Macaca mulatta: one gene and its partners. The protein of the gene in region 3 interacts with the protein of the main gene of each other region in a biochemical or structural test. Links are inferred from orthologs where the notes say so. Each region holds a gene or a part of one and is shown on either strand. Other genes may lie near its edges.

Region 1 (5,011 bases), on a different chromosome or scaffold from region 3:
CCATCCTCCCTCCCCTCCCCCCCCCCCACTTCACCGTGGCCCGCGGGCCCACCACCCCTCACCTCTGAGGGCCTCCGGGGCGGGTGAGCACAGCGCTGTCTCTTGCCAGGAGGCCGGAGGCACCAGGTCAAAGCCTCCGTTGTTGTTCAGGGAGTCCTGGGGTGGAGATACATGATGGCCGTCCTGAGGAGGGCCTCCAGCTCCCAGGGGGTGAGCAGGGCTGGCTGCAGAGTCCCAGGTGCTATGAACCCAGGCTCAGCTCCAAGGAGCTGTGGGTCGGGGCACTCACCTGGGCCCCCAGTGTGGTCAGACGGAGGGTGGTTGGCCGGTGCTTATGGGGCTCCTCCAGAGAAGGGGAGGGGATAAGGGGACCAGGGGCAGGTGCCTCTGAGCCAGGGTCTCCTCCCTCCTGGCCTTCCTCATCTCCCTCCTCCTCCTCCTCCTCCTCTTCCTCGTCCTCATCGTCCTCCTCTTCATTGTCATCGATCATCTCAAACTCCTGGAAGTCATCCTGGAAGGAGCAGATGGGGTGCGGCTGCTCCGAGCGCCCCAGGGAGAGGCTGTCCTGCAGGAGGGAGGGAGATAGCAGGGCTGGGCCAGAGAGCAGCAGCAGCCCGGGGTCCAGGTGCAGGAGAAGGGAAATCGGCGTGCATCAGTCAAAGGACAGCCCCTTCCAGCTCACTCTGCCCCTCTGTCTACAGGGCGATGTTTTTAAAATCTGCTTAAGACACGTCGGGATCACTCCAGTTCTTGGGAAGGACCCAAAAAACTCTACAGCTGAATGACAGGGATTCTCAGAGCAGCCCCAGCCCCGCTTTTAGACTCATCTCACTGCAGAACCCCATCACATTTGACACCAGCACTGTGTTCCCTTCACAGCATTTTAACACAGCTTACAGTTACTGGACATGGTTTTTTAGTCTGTTGCAAGCCCCACCAGGGCAGGGTCACATCCATGTTGTGCACTGTTGCACCCACCCCTAAGAACAAGACCTGGGGCTCAGCGTATGTTCAGTAAATATCAAACAAACGCATAAACGTAGAGACAGCCTGCACTCTGAGGATTCACCAACTTTGCACCAACCCCAGGGCCATTGGCACAGTTAATTCCCATGCTGGCACTTCCTCTCCTCCATTCCCTCCTACCTACCCCATCTGCCTGGCTCTGCTAACCTCAGGGCATGGTTGACATTTCCTCTGGAAATTCTCCCTGATTCCTTCAGTGTGGATTGGGTTCCCTTCCCCCTTGTGGAACTTATGTCTCTGTTGGAATGCAGCCCTTGACACGTGGGCAGTCATTGTCCCTTACAAGTCTTTCTCCTCTACTAAGTTGCAGCTCCGGAGGGCAGCTATCCTGTTCCACTCCCAGCCCCCAGAAGCCCCCAGTACTTGCCACATGGCAGTTGCCCAGAACTGTTCTTCAATAAATGAAAGCAGAAATGTGGAGAGACAGGGAGAAGGAGAAGCAGGAGATGGGGGAGAAACGATTTCAGCGGGGGGAGACATGAGAGAGACAGATGGGAGCTGCAGACGAGAGCACAGGGCTGCGGATGGGACAAGGTTGTGATGGCAGCTGCCAGGGGTTAGATCTTTCTGGGAGTGATCTGAGGACAGAGGGCACCCAAAGCAAAAGAGCACCTCCCTGTCCCGGTCTGGCCACTGATGGTGTCGGGGAGAATGCTGGGGAAGGCCTTGCGTGGAGGCCTGCAATGTATTGGAATAAGAGAGGGTTGATACCAAGGAAACCTCAAGGGTTAAGTGGGGAGGAGCTATCAGAGGAGTCCCCGGTTCAAGGCTGAGCTCACACCCACCCTAAAACCCCAAGTGAATGCTAAGAAGAACCTAATGAGGCCCTCCCTTAAGCTGGATCTGTGCCCCCAACTCTTCCCCCACCTTCTCACAGTGGTCTGAGTCGTAGCTGAGGCCCAGGCCACAGTCATCAGTGATCTCAGACAGATCTTCGTCGTCAAACTCTTCCAGGCTTATGTCCTGGGGAGGCCTGGAAAGGAGACCAGGGTCAGAGAGCTACCAACCTGGACTCTCTGCCTGGGAACTGGCCTTGAGAAGGAGCAGAGCGCGGCCTCAGCTCCTCCGCCCCGTGGTCTCCACAACCCCCAGCTCCCGGAACACATCCTGCCATCATCTTGACCCCCAAGCTCTGCTCTCCTGTGGATCCCCTCCCCCGTCTGAGCCAGGCCTGCCCAGAGCAGCCAACCCTGCCCCCACCCCTCCCACCCCGCCTCCCTGGAGAGCCAGCAGCCTCTCCTCCCTCCACTCGCAGCTCCAGGCCCCTGGGGTCAAGGTCTTGCAGAGCACGGGAGGGGGGGCTGCAACCCGGCAGCGGCAGATGGGGAGGGGTCGCGCCTGCTCTGGGAGGAGAGTCTGGCCTGTTTGTCTCCCCCTCGCTGGCGGAGTGAGGCCTAAACCCAGAGGCCCAGCGTCCTCCCCACCCCAGTCCCTTCCCGCAGGGCCCCGGGCTTGATTTCCACTCTCTCCCGGCCGGGCCCTATCGGCCAGGTCTGGCGTCCACTGAAGGAGGCCAAGGCCACCGGGACACGCCGCGCTGGGAGGGTGTGCCCGCATCGCGCCCGCATCCTCCCCCGCAGAGGGTCGGCCCAGGGCCTCCACCCTTGCCAGGTCAGCGGTCCAGGCCGGGCGCGGCTCAGAATCCCGGCGGGGCCGGGGGTCACGGAGGCTGGGGCCGCGCGGTGAAGACGGAGGGAGTGGGAGCGGGTGGGGGTGGGGCGCCCGAGCCGAGGCTCAAGGACCGCAGGGGGCTGGGGCCGGGTCCGCGCCGGCGGCGGGGACGGGGGTCCGGGCGGGTCGGGGTCGGCGGGGCGCAGGGAGCGGAGGGCCCGCCCGGCCCGGGCGCCGAGGGGGTACCTGCAGCCCGGCGGCGACAGCGAGTGGAAGGTGGAGAGAGAAAACATCTCCGCGCGATCCGCCATCTTCTCCGGGAGAGGCCCGCGACTGCGGCGGGGGGTGCGGGAGCCTCGCCGCGCCCCGCGCCCGCGCTCGGCCCGCCCCGCTCACCTCGTGACACGCCCTGCGGCGCCCGCCCCGCGCACCTCGCCCGGACTGCGCGGCGGCGCGGGGAGGGCGGCGGGGGAGGCGGGGGAGGGACGCGGCCGGGGACGCTGGTTGGAGGAGAGGCGGCGGCTTCACTGCCGGGCGCTGGTTGGGGAAGGACCGGGCGTGCGAGGAGGATTTTTCACGGGGAGGGGCGGGAGGGAAGGGGAGGGCGGGTGGGCGTCGGGCCCCGCCCTGGAGGACCCGCGCGGGGCGGGAGGCCGGAGAGGCAGCGCCGGGGTCCGCGGGCCTCGGGTGCACCGTGGGCTGTTCCCTCTGGCGAGAGGCCGGGGCGGCCCCAGGAGCTGCGCCGCCGCCCCCAGGGGTCCCCCCAGGAACCCTAACCCGGGTGCGGCCCTGAGCTGGGTGGCGGGCGAGGCGGGAGGCGCGGGAGGAGCTGTCCGCCGTCGGGTGCTGATCGGAGCTGTCCCCACGGGGTGCTGACCGGGCTGCACAGGGACGTCTGCACAAGGGTCGCCCAGCAGGGCTGGATTCGGAATCGAGCACACGGTACTCAGAGGATGCTGGCCGGGGTCAAAAGTGGACTTTGAGCACTCAGTAGAGACTGCACAGCCGGACAGAGGTACCGACAGGCATGGGAGAAGTTAGCACCCACAGAGGCGATGTGCGTCCCATTGGAAACACTTTTTCTTGGGCACCGTGTTGCTGGGCCCTGTGTAGGGAGCTGACCCGCTCTGGCTTGGGATGGAGCCCTGTGGGGAGGGCCATGGTTGAAGCTGAGCTCAAGAGGGTGGCTGTGGGAGGAGGCAGGAGATCAGGGTTGAGGGCGCAGAACTAGGGAGACTGCAGAACACTTTTTTTCTTTCTAAAATAGAGACCGGTGGCCGGGCGCGGTGGCTCATGCCTGTAATCCCACCACTTTGGGAGGCCGAGGCGGGTGGATCACGACGTCAAGAGATCGAGACCATCCTGGCCAACATGGGGAAACCCCATCTCTACTGAAAATACAAAAGAATTAGCCGGGCATGGTGGTGCGCGCCTGTAGTCCCAGTGACTCGGGAGGCTGAGGCAGGAGAATCATTTGAACCTGGGAGGAGGAGGTTGCAGTGAGACGAGATTGCGCCACTGCACTCCAGCCTGGTGACAAGAGCAAGACTCCGACTCAAATAAATAAATAGAGAGAGAGAGGGGGAAGAGAGAGAGAGAGAGAGAGAGAGAGAGAGAGAGAGAGAGAGAGAGAGAGAGAGAGAGAGAGAGAGAGAGAGAGAGAGACCGGCTCTCTGTATTGCCCAGGTTGGTCTTGAGCTCCTGGACTCAGCTATCCTCTGGCCTCAGCCTCCCAAAGTGCTGGGATTACAGGTGTGAACCACAGCACCTGGCTAAATATTGGCTAAAGAAGGAGGCTGGAGTTTCAACAAGAGTGCAATCCCTTTTCCCCCTTGATGAAAGTTATGTGCCCTAAGATTTACGTCTTAGTTCTGTGGAAAATTCCTTTTTTTTTTTTTTTTTTTTTTTTTTGAGGCAGAACTTGCTCTGTCGCCCAGGCTGGAGTGCAGTGGCATGATCTCAGCTCAATGTAAACTCTGCCTCCCAGGTTCAAGTGATTCTCGTGCCTCAGTCTCCCGAGTAGCTGGGATTACAGGCAATCACCACCACATCCGCCTAATTTTTGTGTTTTTAGTAGAGATGGGTTTTCACCATGTTGGGCAGGCTGGTCCCAAACTCCTGACCTCAGGTGATCCACCCTCCTTGGCCTCCCAAAGTGCTGGGATTACAGATGTGAGCTACTGCGCCTGGCCTGGAAATTATTCCTTAGGAAAGGACGAGGCACTTGAGTGACAAACACTAGAAAGTACATGGCAGAAGCAGCTCATGCCAGTCGGGAAGGGAAGTATTGCCATTCCAGCTCAGAGAGAGGCCTGTGGCCAGGGCCTGATTGAGCCTGCACTCCTTGGTGCCCCGTCATGATTTATATTTTATG
Region 2 (4,970 bases), on a different chromosome or scaffold from region 3:
GCCCATGCCCCGTCTGGCGCCTGAGGGCCCCGGGGCCCGGCCTCACGCTCACGCCATGGCCTCCCCCAGCGGGGGAGGGGGGCTCGGCCGCGCGAGGGTGCGGGCAGGGGGCGGGGCCGACCGGGACAGTCAGCGGTGCAAGGCCCAGACGCGGGGGTGGGGCTGCATCAGGGGCGGGGTCCGCGTCCCCACTCGTGGCCCAGAATTGCTCCGAGGGGCCGAGCCGTCAGGCAGGCGCGGGGCACGGGCCGGGCACCCGTCGGCGGCATCCAGAGGTGGGCGTGGGGTGGATGCTCCCGGGGTGCAGGCGACAGCTCTCTAGTCTCCGGACCAGGGAGAACCCCAGGATCTGGGGTCCACTTCCGGGGTCGCAGGTCACTCGCTTGGGGCTCCGCGCTCGCCCGGCTTCTGCCGGTGCCGGCCTAAGGAAGAGGCCGGAAGAAGGAGCCGCGAGCCGCCAGCCTTCAGTGGCGCATGCGTCCAACGGTTCCAATTGAGACCCGGAAAAGGAAAACTTGACGGCATGAATGCGCAAGCGCAGAGAGGTGGTGGCGCGGTAGGACGCGAGGGGTGCCATTTGTGCGTGCGCAGAGTCCAGAACTAAAGCAAGTACATGCGCAAAAGCGTTTGGGCGCATGCGTACACCCAGGCGTCGCCAACCCAGGGTAGACGACTGGGCGGAACCAAAGAGACAGTTGAGTAGCCATTGGGTAACGGCAAAGTAATTGGCGCACAGCTCTTCCAATGAGTTACAGGAGACGGGGAAAAGATGGAGGCGTGGAATCCCCTAGTTGCAGCGAGTGTTCTGCACTACCGAAGCACGCCCCTCTCGGTCCGCCCCCTTTAATGCTGGACCTCCTACGTCCTGATCGTTTCTCGGCTCCCAGCGGCGTCTACTTCCGGGTCAGAGCTCAGACCTAGGGTGTAGAGAACAACCTTCCGGAACAGGCAGGAATAGTCGAAAAAGGATAGCGTCGTCTTTCTTAAAGTGACAGGCTTAAAGCAATTGGGGCAGCCCTATCCAGAGGTTCTGAGGGCGACTCAGCTATTCTGAATCCAATCGTGGGCAAAGTTCTGGACAAGTCTCAGGATTCTGCCAATGGGGAAGGGATATGAAGAAGCGGATTGTTTCCCAGGTGAGGAGAAGAGCAGAACCTTAGACAATCCACTCCAAGAGCTTGAGGTGCAGCCAGTTCCGTCTGTCCTCCAGTCTTCCCCACCCCATCCCACTAGCTCTGCGAGGCAGAGCTTTCTTGTACTCATATCATATATGAAAAGAATGGCCGGGCGCGGTGGCTCACGCCTGTAATCCCAGCACTTTGGGAGGTCGAGGCGGGCGGATCACGAGGTCAGGGGTTTGAGACCAGCATGGTCAACGTGGTGAAACCCGTCTCTACCAAAAATACAAAAATTAGCCGGCCGTGGTGCCACGCGCCGGTAGTCCCAGCTACTCGGGAGGCTGAGGCAGGAGAATCGCTTGAACCCGGGAGGCAGAGGTTGCAGTGAGCTTAGACTGCGCCATTGCATACCAGCCTGGGTGACAGAGAAAGGACTCCGTCTCAAAAAAAGAAAAAAGAAAGAAAGAAGGAAAATAATGAGGCTCAGAATGGATGGATCGCACAGTCCCACAACTTCGCAGCCAACACCAGACTTGGGTTCACCCCCTTCCCAAGTGTGGTTCTGTAACCCCGTTTTGCTGACGCCAGTGCGGATGCAGAGGACAGAGATGGCCCATCCTTAGCAGAGACCAACCTGCACCCTGGCCAGCAGAGCACGCAGCTGGAGGCTTTTCTTTCTATATCTCAAAGCCTGCTGTGATGGGGAATCTGGTTCTGCCCTTTCCCTCCTCTGCCTCTCCTGGCCCGCCTACCCGGGAACTCCCCTGCTGGAGCCTCTGGGAGGGGAGCGGTGCAGGCCGCCCGCGTCATCTGATGCTGTTTCCTGCAGGAGGGAGAAGAGCGGAAAAAAGTGAAACTCCACCCTCCACCTCTGCCTCCCGCCCCCGAGGCCAAAGTACAAAGGGAGGAGGAAGAAGGGAGCGGGGTCGGAGCCGTCGGGACCAAAGGAGCCGGGGACAGGAACAGGCAGTCTGGGCCCAACTGTGGACGCTCCCTCCACCCCCGCGCAAAAAGACCCAACCGGAGTTGAGGCGCTGCCCCTGGAGGCCCCACCTTACGCTTGGCGGGGGCCGGAGCCAGGCTCCCAGGACTGCTCCAGGACCGAGGGAAGCTCGGGCCCCTCCAAGCTAGCCATGGTGAGGCGTCGGAGGCCCCGGGGCCCCACCCCCCCGGCCTGACCACACTGCCCTGGGTGCCCTCCTCCAGAAGCCCGAGATGCGGGGGGCCGGGAGGCGACACTCCTGGCTCCCCAGAGAGGCGTGGGTCTGGGGCTGAGGGCCAGGGCCCGGATGCCCAGGTTCCGGGACTAGGGCCTTGGCAGCCAGCGGGGGTGGGGACCACGGGCACCCAGAGAAGGTCCTCCACACATCCCAACGCCGGCTCCCGGCCATGGAGCCCTTGAAGAGCCTCTTCCTCAAGAGCCCTCTAGGGTCATGGAATGGCAGTGGCAGCGGGGGTGGTGGGGGCAGTGGAGGAGGCCGGCCTGAGGGGTCTCCAAAGGCAGCGGGTTATGCCAACCCGGTGTGGACAGCCCTGTTCGACTACGAGCCCAGTGGGCAGGACGAGCTGGCCCTGAGGAAGGGTGACCGTGTGGAGGTGCTGTCCCGGGACGCAGCCATCTCAGGAGACGAGGGCTGGTGGGCAGGCCAGGTGGGTGGCCAGGTGGGCATCTTCCCATCCAACTATGTGTCTCGGGGTGGCGGCCCGCCCCCCTGCGAGGTGGCCAGCTTCCAGGAGCTGCGGCTGGAGGAGGTGATCGGCATTGGAGGCTTCGGCAAGGTGTACCGGGGCAGCTGGCGAGGTGAGCTGGTGGCTGTGAAGGCAGCTCGCCAGGACCCCGATGAGGACATCAGTGTGACAGCTGAGAGTGTTCGCCAGGAGGCCCGGCTCTTCGCCATGCTAGCACACCCCAACATCATTGCCCTCAAGGCTGTGTGCCTGGAGGAGCCCAACCTGTGCCTGGTGATGGAGTATGCAGCTGGTGGACCCCTCAGCCGAGCTCTGGCAGGGCGGCGCGTGCCTCCCCATGTGCTGGTTAACTGGGCTGTGCAGATTGCCCGTGGGATGCACTACCTGCACTGCGAGGCCCTGGTGCCCGTCATCCATCGCGACCTCAAGTCCAACAACAGTGAGTTTCTGGCGGCCTGGTTGCGGGTGGCATGGCTCTGGCACACACCTGCTCCCAACCTTCCACTGAGCCTAGCTTAGGGTCTGCTGCAGGTAGGAGCACTCGCCCTAGGGGGTCCCAGCTGACCAGGTGCCCATGGGCTCAAGCTAGCCCCCAAACAGAGCTCCAGGCACCCAGAAGAGTCTTCCTGTCCCAGCCTCAGAAGTCCTTGGCCCCAGCCTGCAGCTGAGGTTTGGACAAGTTAAGAAATTGGGATTTCTCAGGTGGGCCATAAGCATCCTGCCCAGCTCTGCCTCCCACCTCAAGGAAGTCCTCTGGAAGCTCGCGCTCCCCATCTTCTCCTCCCCTAAATTCATATTCGTAGAGTTGGTGCTCTGTCCTCTCCTGTCATCATGGGCAGCTCCTCCAGAACAGATATCTCAGAGAGAGAAGCCCTCCTTGGCAGTCAAGGCCAAGGCCAGGGCTGGAATTCTGGCCTAGCCCTCCCTGGCTGCATGACCTCTAGCTCGTTACTCAAACTCGGAGCCTCAATTTCAGACTCTGTAAAAAGGGAGAGTGAAACAGCTCAACAGCCTGGGCAAGCCTGACCTGCGATCCCCAACCCGCAGCGGGTCTTCAGCCATGGAGATGGGCATTTGAGGGCTGGATCACCAAGAGGGCCTAGCCTGCAATCAGTGCTTGGGGTGGGAGTGCTGGGCTAGGGGAGACTCCATCTCCCACCATTTTAAGCCCCCAACACGCTTTCCATCACGGCCCAAGAGAAGCAAGTGGTAGCTTCAGAGGGCTTCCTGGTGCGCGCAGCATTTAGAGAGCGAAGGCATGGAAGCAGGACCTAGCACACAGCAGGGACCAGGAGCAGGGGCCTCCTAGAGCCCAGGGTGCAGGCTGGAGAGCAGCAGTAGGAAATGCAGGAGGGGCCAGGCTCAGTGGGGTCACTGGAAAAGCATGAGACATTCTTAGAGGGGGGTCCATGTGGATATTTTGAGCCTCCTAGCCTGGGCTGACCATGGACAAGGGGCTTGCAGGAAACAGAGTGCTGAGCCCCAGATATCCAAGTTCTTGCCAGGGCTGGAGGAGCCAGGGGAGGCCTGCCAACCACCCCACCCACTCTTCTCATCCCTTGTAAGGTGCAGTTCCCACCTCTCAGCCTCAACCCTGGGCTCTATCTAGGGACCCCCACTACCTGCCCCAATCTGAGGGGGATTCCCCGAAGGCGCAGGGGGAGGGGACTCCCATCTTCTGTTTTTCCTCCGTTTTCTTTCCAGAAAAAATGGAACAATAGCCCAGGCCCCTGCTCCCCACCCTCCCCACTGCTTCCTGCGTTTCCTGCTGCCCTGAGCCGGCTTCCTGTCCCTGCTCCAGCCCCTGCTCCCTCCCTAGCCCAGCTGCCTGCAGGGGAGGAAAGAGCTGGGGGTGGAGGGCTTGCAGGAGGAAGGAGCCTGGAACTGCTGCCCCACTCCCCTCTAGTTCCCCTGCTTCCCTCTCAGAGTCTGGGAGTTGGTGGTAAAGGGCAGGCAAGGTGCCCTCAGCCTCCCTGAGCCTGGCATTTAACCTCGGAGACCCCAGTCTTAGGCCCAAGTTGCTGTCTGCGGGATTGGGGTGGGGGGAGTCCCTGGGCTTGGGGGGGCACAGGCAAGAAACAATGGCATGATTTTCCTGGACAATGGGGGCCTTGTGAGGAAGCCTGGCGGGGAGAGGAGGGGGAATTCTCCAGGCCCACGAGT
Region 3 (4,700 bases):
GGCTACAGTGAGCCATGATCACACCACTGCACCCCAGCCTGGGTGACAGAGTAAGATCCTGTCTCAAAAATTTAAAAAACGGGCCAGGCGCAGTGGCTGATGCCTGTAATTTCAGTATTTTGGGAAGCCAAGGAGGGTGGATCTCTTGAGGTCAGGAGTTCGAGACCAGCCTGACCAACATGGTGAAACCCTGTCGCTATTAAGAATGCAAGACATTAAGCCAGGCGCGGTGGCTCACACCTGTAATCCCAGCACTTTGGGAGGCCAAGGCGGGTGGATCACCTGTGGTCGGGAGTTCGAGACCCCAACATAGAGAAACCCCGTCTCCACTGAAAATACAAATCAGGCGGGCATGGTGACGCATGCCTGTAATCCCAGCTACTCGGGAGACCGAGGCAGGAGAATAGCTTGAACCCGGGAGGCGGAGGTTGCAGTGAGCCGAGATCACTCCATTGCACTCCAGCCTGGGCAACAAGAGTGAAACTCCATCTAAAAAAAAAAAAAACAAAAGAGATTAGGTGGAAGTTGCAGTGAACTCAGGTCGTGCCACTGCACTCCAGCCTGGGCAACAGAGCAAGACTCCGTCTCAAAACAAAACAAAACAAATGTAAAAAGCGTCTTGAAGGAGGTGGGGGGAGAGAAGACAGCCCTGCCCGGGCTCTGAGCGTAGTGCCAGCCTGTGGTGGGCATGCAGGCTGTGCCCCATGCCTGTGTTGGGAGAGGGAGTAGATGAGGTGCCTGGCCCTGTGAGTGACTGTGAGTGTGTGTGTGTCCGATGGGCAATGGGGACTCTGTCCCAGCTGCACGGGTGTTGGGTCCACAGCGGCACGCCCCGCGTGTGTGTTGTGCTTGTGTGCACTTGCACGGCGTGCGTGTGCATGTTGACATGGCAGCCTGCACACCTGTGGCTCCTGTCAGCACACACGTGCCCTCCAGCCTCTCGCTCTCTCTCATCCGTTCTTTCTCTCTCATCCTCACCCTCTTGCTGTCACTCCACCCTCCTGAGCTGCCATGTGGCCATCACCACCGCTGTGGCCTCTGTTCTCAGGGCCTTTGTGTACCTCCTTCCCCCAGTGCCTACCTGAGCCCTCCCTTCCATTCCCCCGTGCTCCAGTCTGCAGGCCAGCAGCCTCCTCCCCAGGCTCTGGGGCTGCCCTCAGAAGGCCTGGTGGGCTGTGCCGGGGAGGGGGCCCACAGGACTCCTCGAGGGCTGTGGTCCTCACCCCCTGAGTGCAGGGCGGGAGTGGGACTCAGATACTCTCTGAGGGCGGGAACCACGCAGTATCTCAAGAGACACCAGGTGCACAGGGGTTGGGGGCTGGGTGTGAGGAGAGCACAGGCCCTCGGGAGCCAGAAGAGGATCGGGGCTGTGGCTCGGGCCATGGACAGAGCAGAGGCACAAGGACCTGAAGAAGCAGAGGGGGGAACCTGGCCAACGCAGCGAGATCCCGTCTCTACTAAAAAGACAAAGATTAGTTGGGCATGGTGGCGTGTGCCTATAATCCCAGCTACTCAGGAGGCTGAGGCAGGAGAATCACTTGAACCTGGGAGGTGGAGGTTGCAGTGAGTTGAGATCACGCCATTGCACTCCAGCCTGGGCGACAGAGTGAGAACCTATCTCGAAAAAAAAAGAAAAAAAAAAGCACCAGTGGGAGGTGACATGGTGCTGTGGAGGCTGCAGTGGCCAGGACAGCGGGAGGGGCACGGGAGGTGAGGCCTCTAGGCCAGTTAGGAAAGCTGGGCCTGACTGTGTCCCCAGGTCCCCGGAGCCCTTCCCCAGCTCCTGCCTGGTCCTCCAGGAGGGGAGCAAGGGGACACAGCTCCTGCAGGGGCTGGTGGGACCAGGTAGGGGCAGTGCTGGGCCTCCTGATTGAGACTGAGGTCAGCGTCCTCCTGCCTCTTCTACTGGCTGAGATCAGGGTCCCAGGCACCCAGGGGAGGGACGGGGTTTAGCTGCCAGCATGGAGCGGGTCTGTCTGTTCGTGTTAGTCCCTGGGCACCAGTCACCAGGAGCCTGCAGAACTGTGGGAAGAAAAGGTGGACGAGGCAGGAGGAAGAGAGGGGGCTGTCCGTTGAGGGCTTTGGGAGAGCGGCAGGCCCCAGCCCCTGTGGGAGGGGCACCTTGGGAGGTGTGTGTAGCTGTTGTCAGGGCCTCTGGGATGTGAGGTGTCAGGATTGGCTCCTCTGGAGGCCACGTTGGCATCCCGGCCTCTGTTCCTGCACCCCATCGCCAGCCCAGCCAGGGAGACCCTAGCTCCTCCAGGAAGCTGCCCTCCTGTCCCAGGCCCCTCTCTGGCCTGTCTGTGCAGTGCCTCCTCTGGGCACCTGGGCCCAAGTCTTGGTTTCTGTCTGTCTGTCTGTCTCCTGCCCTCCCACCCCTAATGCTGCCTGCCTGCCCCAGGGTGCCCGCCGCCTGCCCGCCCGCTGTAGCATGCCCGAGCTGCCCGCATGCAGGCTGCTGGATGAGCCAACCCCTGCCTGGCCCAGCATTGGCCCCACCTGGTCCCGCCAGCCCCTGCAGGAGCTGTGCCCCCCAACTCTCTTCCCAGATGATGCAGGCCCCCTGAGGTCCTGTCCTGCCCCCACGGGCCCCAGCTCTGCAGGCCAGGCCGGGAGGCCCCCGTGTCAGCCCACTGGCCCGAGGGGGCCCTCCTGACCCCGGAACAGAACATGGGGCAAGGCAGCCTGAAACCTGGGTCTCGTGCCCACTGCCTCCCCAGGGTGGCCCCGCTCGCTCTCGTCTGGGAGCCAAGTTTAGTGCTACCAGCAGGGCCACAGCCCGGGCCAGCCCTGGCAGGCACTCCACCCCCGCCTATCCAGCCTGTGGGCGCTGTGGTCCTGGGCCTGCTTCCTGGGCAGAAGTGGGAGGAAGCGCCCACACCTGTCAGGGAGGCTGCCCGGCCGAGGGACACCTCAGGTCCCCGTCTCATTTCTCCGTCAGCGTAGACTTGGGGCTCCCTCTCCCCTGCCAGCCTCTTCCATTTCTTTCCACGTCAGGGGATGAGACAAGGGACCCTGAGGACAGTCTGGGGTGGGAGGGAGACCCCAGCTCCTCCAGCCCAGCAGGGCAGGGGCTGTGCCGGCCTAGCTAGGGAAGCCCAGGAGGGGAAGGTGAGGGTCCCGACCTCTCCCTGGAGTGCCAGATGTGGAGCTGAGACCAGCTGGGTGCTGACCCCTCCCCTGCCACTGGTTCTCACCCCCCCAGCCCTGCAGCTCCCGCTGGCCAACGATGGGGGCAGCCGCTCGCCATCCTCGGAGAGCTCCCCGCAGCACCCCACGCCCCCCGCCCGGCCCCGCCACATGCTGGGGCTCCCGTCAACCCTGTTCACGCCTCGAAGCATGGAGAGGTGAGCCAGGGGCCTGGCAGGGTTGGGTGGGAAGCAGCATTGAGGGGCCACCGTGCCAGCCTCGGGGAGGGCGGTTAAACCGGTGAGAACCCCGGTATGGGGGGCTGGGGTGGCCAACCTAAGGTCAGGACCCACCTCCACCGGCACCTGCTCCGTGTCCCCAGCATTGAGATTGACCAGAAGCTGCAGGAGATCATGAAGCAGACGGGCTACCTGACCATCGGGGGCCAGGTACCACCTTCACTGTGGCGGGAGAGGGAGGAGGCCCAGCCAGGCTGGACCCATCCTGGGGGTGCCAGTGGGGGGCGGGGGGCGGTGACAGAGGCCCCGGGGACCCTCCAACCCTCCCTCTCCTCCCAGCGCTACCAGGCAGAAATCAATGACCTGGAGAACTTGGGTGAGATGGGCAGCGGCACCTGCGGCCAGGTGTGGAAGATGCGCTTCCGGAAGACCGGCCACGTCATTGCCGTTAAGGTGAGCCTTGGCGGCTACCCCAGCTGCGCCCCACACCCCGGGCCGGTGCTAAGACTCCCTCCTGTCCCTGCCTGTGCAGCAAATGCGGCGCTCGGGGAACAAGGAGGAGAACAAGCGTATCCTCATGGACCTGGATGTGGTGCTCAAGAGCCATGACTGCCCTTACATTGTGCAGTGCTTTGGGACGTTTATCACCAACGTGAGTCCCCAGCCGTGCCAGGTGCCCCCCCCCCGCACCCTGCAGGGTCTCCTCCTCCCTCACCCCCTGCCCCTTCCCAGGGAGCAGAGCCTCTGGGGGCTGGGCCAGAAGACACAGCTCCCCCGGGAACCCCCTCTTACTGCAGACGGACGTCTTCATCGCCATGGAGCTCATGGGCACCTGTGCCGAGAAGCTCAAGAAGCGGATGCAGGGCCCCATCCCCGAGCGCATCCTGGGCAAGATGACAGTGGCGGTGAGTGGCCAGGGGGGGCGTGCACCGGGCAGGTGGCCTTGGGCCTGTGCCCCCGGTCACATGCACCCTCTTCTGCCTACCTGCAGATTGTGAAGGCGCTGTACTACCTGAAGGAGAAGCACGGTGTCATCCACCGCGACGTCAAGCCCTCCAACATCCTGCTGGACGAGCGGGGCCAGATCAAGCTTTGCGACTTCGGCATCAGCGGCCGCCTGGTGGACTCCAAAGCCAAAACGCGGAGCGCCGGCTGTGCAGCCTACATGGCGGTGAGTGGGGGCCCTCCAGCGGGGGAGGGGTGGGGCCTGGGAGCCCGGCCCAGACTTGGAGATACATCTTCTCCTCCTCCTCCTCCTGTAGCCCGAGCGCATTGACCCCCCAGACCCCACCAAGCCAGACTATGACATCCGGGCCGATGTATGGAGCCTGG
Region 4 (4,076 bases), about 5.6 Mb from region 3:
GGGGTGTGAAGCGTGTCCCAGGGGAGGGGGCAGGGGTCCCGGTTGTTCTCAGAAGCCGAAAACATACAAGCACCCAGAAGCTTTAGAAATTTATTACAAGGTCATCAGAGTAGAAATAAAAATATAGATATCTGTGCTTCCCATCTCGCTCTCAGTGGTTCGAGTAACAAGTGCAAGTAACAAAATAGATTGTCTCTATGATTCGCAAACTGGGAGTTCATGGGTACAGAGCAACTTCGGCCCCAGCTCCCAAGTCCCAAAGTGTGGTCTTGTCGAGGGTGCAGACAAGCACCAACCAAGTTCAACCAGGTCTCTAGTCTGCAGACGCCAGCTCCAGTCTCAAGGAGGGTGGGGGTTGCAGTCAGTCTCACTCCACCCTCAAGTGGAGAGTCTGGACCTTCCATGATAGGGAAGGCGGCAGCGTGCCCCACCCCTCCAGCTTCTGCTCCATCCCAAGGCCTGAGCTCCGGGGTCCTGTCTCCTGCTGGCCTGGGTCCCCACTTCTCCTCCATCGGATCGGCGGCCGCCAGCTCCCCGATCTCCGCCCTGGGGGCGGCCACTCACTCCCCTTCTCCTCCTCCTCCTCCTCCTCTTCAGTCTCCAACGACTCTGCCCCCGATGGTTTCGTGGGTTGGGTTGTTTTGGGGGGGTTGTGCTGGGGGGGAGGGGGGTTCAAATATTTATTTTATTTTTTGTTTTTGGCAGCAACTCAACAGGTTCTGCTGCTGGGAAGGGCCTCAGCGTTCCTGAAGAGAGATGTAGGGCACCCACTGGTTGTTGCCCCGGCTTTCTTCGCAGTAGCTGGCTACCTCCACCAAGCCGTGGCTCTTCCAGGCGTCGGTGTGAGGGTTCTGTGGGAGGGGAAAAGAAGGGGTTTAGTGGGAGCCTCCCTCTCCCAAGGCCCCATGTGTGGGGAAAACAGGCAGGCTCAAAATAGCTCCCTGGGTGAGGAGGCCCCAGCCCGGCTGCCCACGGGACATGCCAAGCATGGTTGAACGCTGAGCTGTGCAGGACCAGTCAGCCCGACTTTGTTGACAAACACCAGCCCAGGTGCCCGGGCGTGGCAGGTCAGGGCAGAGGCCCAACTCACCGTGACCAGGAGACAATGCAGGTCTCGGGCCTCAGTGGTGCCCTGGGTCTCGGCCGGCTCTCCCAGGAGCTGTGCCAGGCGCTGCATGCCCGACACCCGCATGATGTTAATGTCGTTGTCGCAGCAGAAGGACTGGATGAGCGTGAAGTGGATTTGCAGGGCGATGTCATCCTCCTCCTCCTCGTCAATGGCCAAGAGGCAGAGGACCACGCTGTCTGGGTCCCTGAGGGGGCCAAAGGGAAGGGGTGGGTCAGCCGGGAACAGGGGAGAGGCCACCGTGCAGGGGGAGTTTGCAAAAAAAGGAGCGTGCAAGAGCAAAAGAGAAACTGCAGGGGTGCAGGGGATTGCCTCTGCAAGCTGGTGACGGTGGGGGGCGGGGAAGGCACACGGTTCAAAGTGTGGGGTGTGGGGAGACAGGCCCACAGCGGGAGGGGCGCTTGCAGACGATGCATCAGGATACGGCAGCCCCCAATCCACAAAACAGCAGAGGAGCTCTGCATCCACAGCGGGTGGCACTTGGGGAAGTCCCAGCCCCATGCGAGACAAGCGTGTGGAAAGCGTCCAGAGCGGAGGGGAGGTCCGGTCCCACCCGCGCCCGGCCCGGGGAGGGGGTCTGACTCACACATTCATCAACTTGGCCGACTCGTACACCCCCACTGTGAGGCGATCCTGGCGCTGAGCGGCCACCAACAGCTCCTCCACCGCGGCGGTCACCGTCTGCATCCTGAGGCCAGGAGAGAGGGATCAGTGACGGGCGGACCACCGGGTGCTACATTCCGCTCCCGGCCCGGCCCAACCCGACCCATCCCGTCCCGGCCGACCTCAGACGGCGGCGGCCCCGGCTACTTACTTCTGCGCCGCGTTGTCGCACGCCACGAGCTCTTCCAGCGTCATGTTGCAATTATAATCCACAGTGGACGCGGCTCCACGACAGTCCCCAGGGAGAAATTGCAAAATCCGCGCCAGAAAGCCCAAAACCTTCCCACGGAGCTGGAGCGCTCGTCCAAGACCTTCGGGAAGCAGCGAAATCCTTCCAGAAAAGGCGGAAAAAAATGTTGCAAAGTCCTTGGCGAAAATAATCCGGGAAGTTGCAGAAACCAACCGTAGTCCGAAGCCTCGGCGATCTGAGCCGGGAGCCTCCGGCACCGACTTTTATAGACTTGACGGCTGGGGCGTGGCCTCAGTGGAGTCATTCACCCCTCCTATTGGTGGAAGGACAACGGAGAGTGCAGACAGCTCTGCGGTTGGCCGACGGCGGGGAGGGGGCGGAGCGCCGTGTGGGGGCGCCCCACGTGGGGGCGAGAACCGGGAGGAGGGCGCGCGGGGGCCGGGTAGGTGACCGCGAATGCCAGAAAAGAAAAAAAAAAGCAGAAGTTTTTTTCTCCTGATTTCCCGGCAGCCGAGCCGCGGTTCGGGGCGCGCGCGGGATTTCCAGCGCGCGAGGCGGCCCGGACTTTCGCCGGGGGGGGCCTGGAATCCCCTCCCGATGCGCGGAGAGTCCCGGACTGCTCCTTTCCCAAGTTCTGCTGGGGGTGGAGGGGCTGCACCGGGAAGGGGCCCCGTTTGCAGCCTGATCTCGCCCAGGTGGTGGTGATGACCGGAGTCTCTCCTGGCTGCGGCGACCCCAGCCCCTGGGTGATTTCGCTTTTCCCGGCCTCTATATTCCTGTCTGAGTAATGGGGCTGCAGCGCCGGCCTCGCTGGTTTGCAGAGCATGACATAAAATACGGCTGACAGTAAGCGCTCAATACACATCATCTGTCACCTGGTGGTCGCGGGAGGCCTCCTCCAGGGCCCCGAAAGTGGGAGGTTGCAAAGCCCGGGGCACTCTGGAGAAGAAAGCGGGCGCCCCCTCGCCGACCCCGCGAGTTTCAGGGTGGGGCGCGCGTGGGAGGTGCAGGTGGCGTGGCCCCGCCCCCGCCAGCTGCCTGGCGTTCCAGGCTTTGCGCGTGCGGAGGCCTCCAGGCCGAGGAGAAAGCCATTGTTGGGGGGAATGGTGCAGGCTGCGGCTGCACGCCGCCACCCCAGGCCCACGTGCAAGGATGACGGCCACCTTTATTTCTCACTCCGGGGTGGGCGCTGACCTGCACTGAGCGTGGTGCGGATCTGGCACCCTCCACCCCTCCCGATTCATGGATGATTTAATCCAAGACCTGAGAAGCAGGGGAGATGCTTATGTGCATTATGCAAAAGGGTAAACTGAGGCTTGGTGAGGCCACAGGCTAGTTCGTGTTGGAGCCACGCCTGTGCGCCAGGCACGGCCGCCTGCAGGACTCCGCCGCCCCAGGAAGGCTGCTTAGGAACGAAGCGGGCAGGCCCCGCATGACAACGTCTCCCACGGTCGACTGGGGGCTCCCGGGTGACTCACATCTGAGTCCCCTCCCCCGCCAGCCTGGGGTCTGGCCTCGGCCCTGCGGCTCGGTTTCCCCGGTTCCCCGGCTCCCTGGCCCGCGAGCCCAGCTGACGCATCCCGCCTCCTCCGCGCCGCCCACCGCCGGGGGGCACGAAATGTCCCGGGGCTGCGAGGCGCGGCGGCGCCATCTGGTGGCCGCGCAGAGTTTCTGCGCCCTCAGCGCCGGAAGAGAGGGATGGACGGGCGGGGCACTGGGCTGGAGGCGGGGGATAAGGGGACCGTGGCAGTTGCAACGTTTCATATAATTTTATATATGCAATGTTTTACGCAGGCAACATATATATTTATATTTTATAATTTAATTTTAAAAATTAAATCGGCCGGGAGCGGTGGATCACGCCTGTAATCCCAGCACTTTGGGAGTCCTAGGCGGGCAGATCAACTGAGGTCAGGAGTTCCAGACCAGCCTGACCAATACGGCCAACATGAGCTGAAGATAGGGAAGGTCAGGGAGGTGAGTGGGATAAGTGCAAAGTCAGATTCTGTCTTTTTTTACAATTTTGATATTTTGTTCCCTCACGCTGGGATTACAGGCGTGAGCCACCGCGCCCGGCCTGATTTTTGTTTTTAAAAA

Evidence for each region.
Region 1: the proteins of MAP2K7 (region 3) and MAPK8IP2 form a complex in vitro, tested with the Homo sapiens proteins (2 studies listed by BioGRID). The link is inferred for Macaca mulatta from reciprocal best matches to the Homo sapiens genes MAP2K7 and MAPK8IP2.
Region 2: of the proteins of MAP2K7 (region 3) and MAP3K11, one has a biochemical effect on the other in vitro, tested with the Homo sapiens proteins (2 studies listed by BioGRID). The link is inferred for Macaca mulatta from reciprocal best matches to the Homo sapiens genes MAP2K7 and MAP3K11.
Region 4: the proteins of MAP2K7 (region 3) and GADD45B form a complex in vitro, tested with the Homo sapiens proteins (2 studies listed by BioGRID and IntAct). The link is inferred for Macaca mulatta from reciprocal best matches to the Homo sapiens genes MAP2K7 and GADD45B.

The regions. Positions count from the first base shown.
Region 1 is NC_133415.1:846,880-851,890, forward strand, and holds the start of MAPK8IP2 (C-Jun-amino-terminal kinase-interacting protein 2), read right to left. Parts: upstream 2,956-5,011; 5' UTR 2,949-2,955; coding exon 2,884-2,948; intron 2,000-2,883; coding exon 1,894-1,999; intron 566-1,893; coding exon 290-565; intron 157-289; coding exon 63-156; intron 1-62. UniProt on the Homo sapiens protein: The JNK-interacting protein (JIP) group of scaffold proteins selectively mediates JNK signaling by aggregating specific components of the MAPK cascade to form a functional JNK signaling module.
Region 2 is NC_133419.1:8,776,862-8,781,831, forward strand, and holds the start of MAP3K11 (mitogen-activated protein kinase kinase kinase 11), read left to right. Parts: upstream 1-2,015; 5' UTR 2,016-2,507; coding exon 2,508-3,246; intron 3,247-4,970. UniProt on the Homo sapiens protein: Activates the JUN N-terminal pathway. Required for serum-stimulated cell proliferation and for mitogen and cytokine activation of MAPK14 (p38), MAPK3 (ERK) and MAPK8 (JNK1) through phosphorylation and activation of MAP2K4/MKK4 and MAP2K7/MKK7.
Region 3 is NC_133424.1:8,776,941-8,781,640, forward strand, and holds the start of MAP2K7 (dual specificity mitogen-activated protein kinase kinase 7), read left to right. Parts: upstream 1-1,308; 5' UTR 1,309-1,680; intron 1,681-2,075; exon of another isoform or gene 2,076-2,426; intron 2,427-2,521; 5' UTR 2,522-3,000; coding exon 3,001-3,347; intron 3,348-3,511; coding exon 3,512-3,578; intron 3,579-3,707; coding exon 3,708-3,821; intron 3,822-3,900; coding exon 3,901-4,020; intron 4,021-4,165; coding exon 4,166-4,273; intron 4,274-4,359; coding exon 4,360-4,539; intron 4,540-4,630; coding exon 4,631-4,700. UniProt on the Homo sapiens protein: Dual specificity protein kinase which acts as an essential component of the MAP kinase signal transduction pathway. Essential component of the stress-activated protein kinase/c-Jun N-terminal kinase (SAP/JNK) signaling pathway.
Region 4 is NC_133424.1:3,218,020-3,222,095, reverse strand, and holds GADD45B (growth arrest and DNA damage-inducible protein GADD45 beta), read right to left. Parts: upstream 2,144-4,076; 5' UTR 1,985-2,143; coding exon 1,941-1,984; intron 1,815-1,940; coding exon 1,713-1,814; intron 1,314-1,712; coding exon 1,091-1,313; intron 852-1,090; coding exon 738-851; 3' UTR 656-737; downstream 1-655.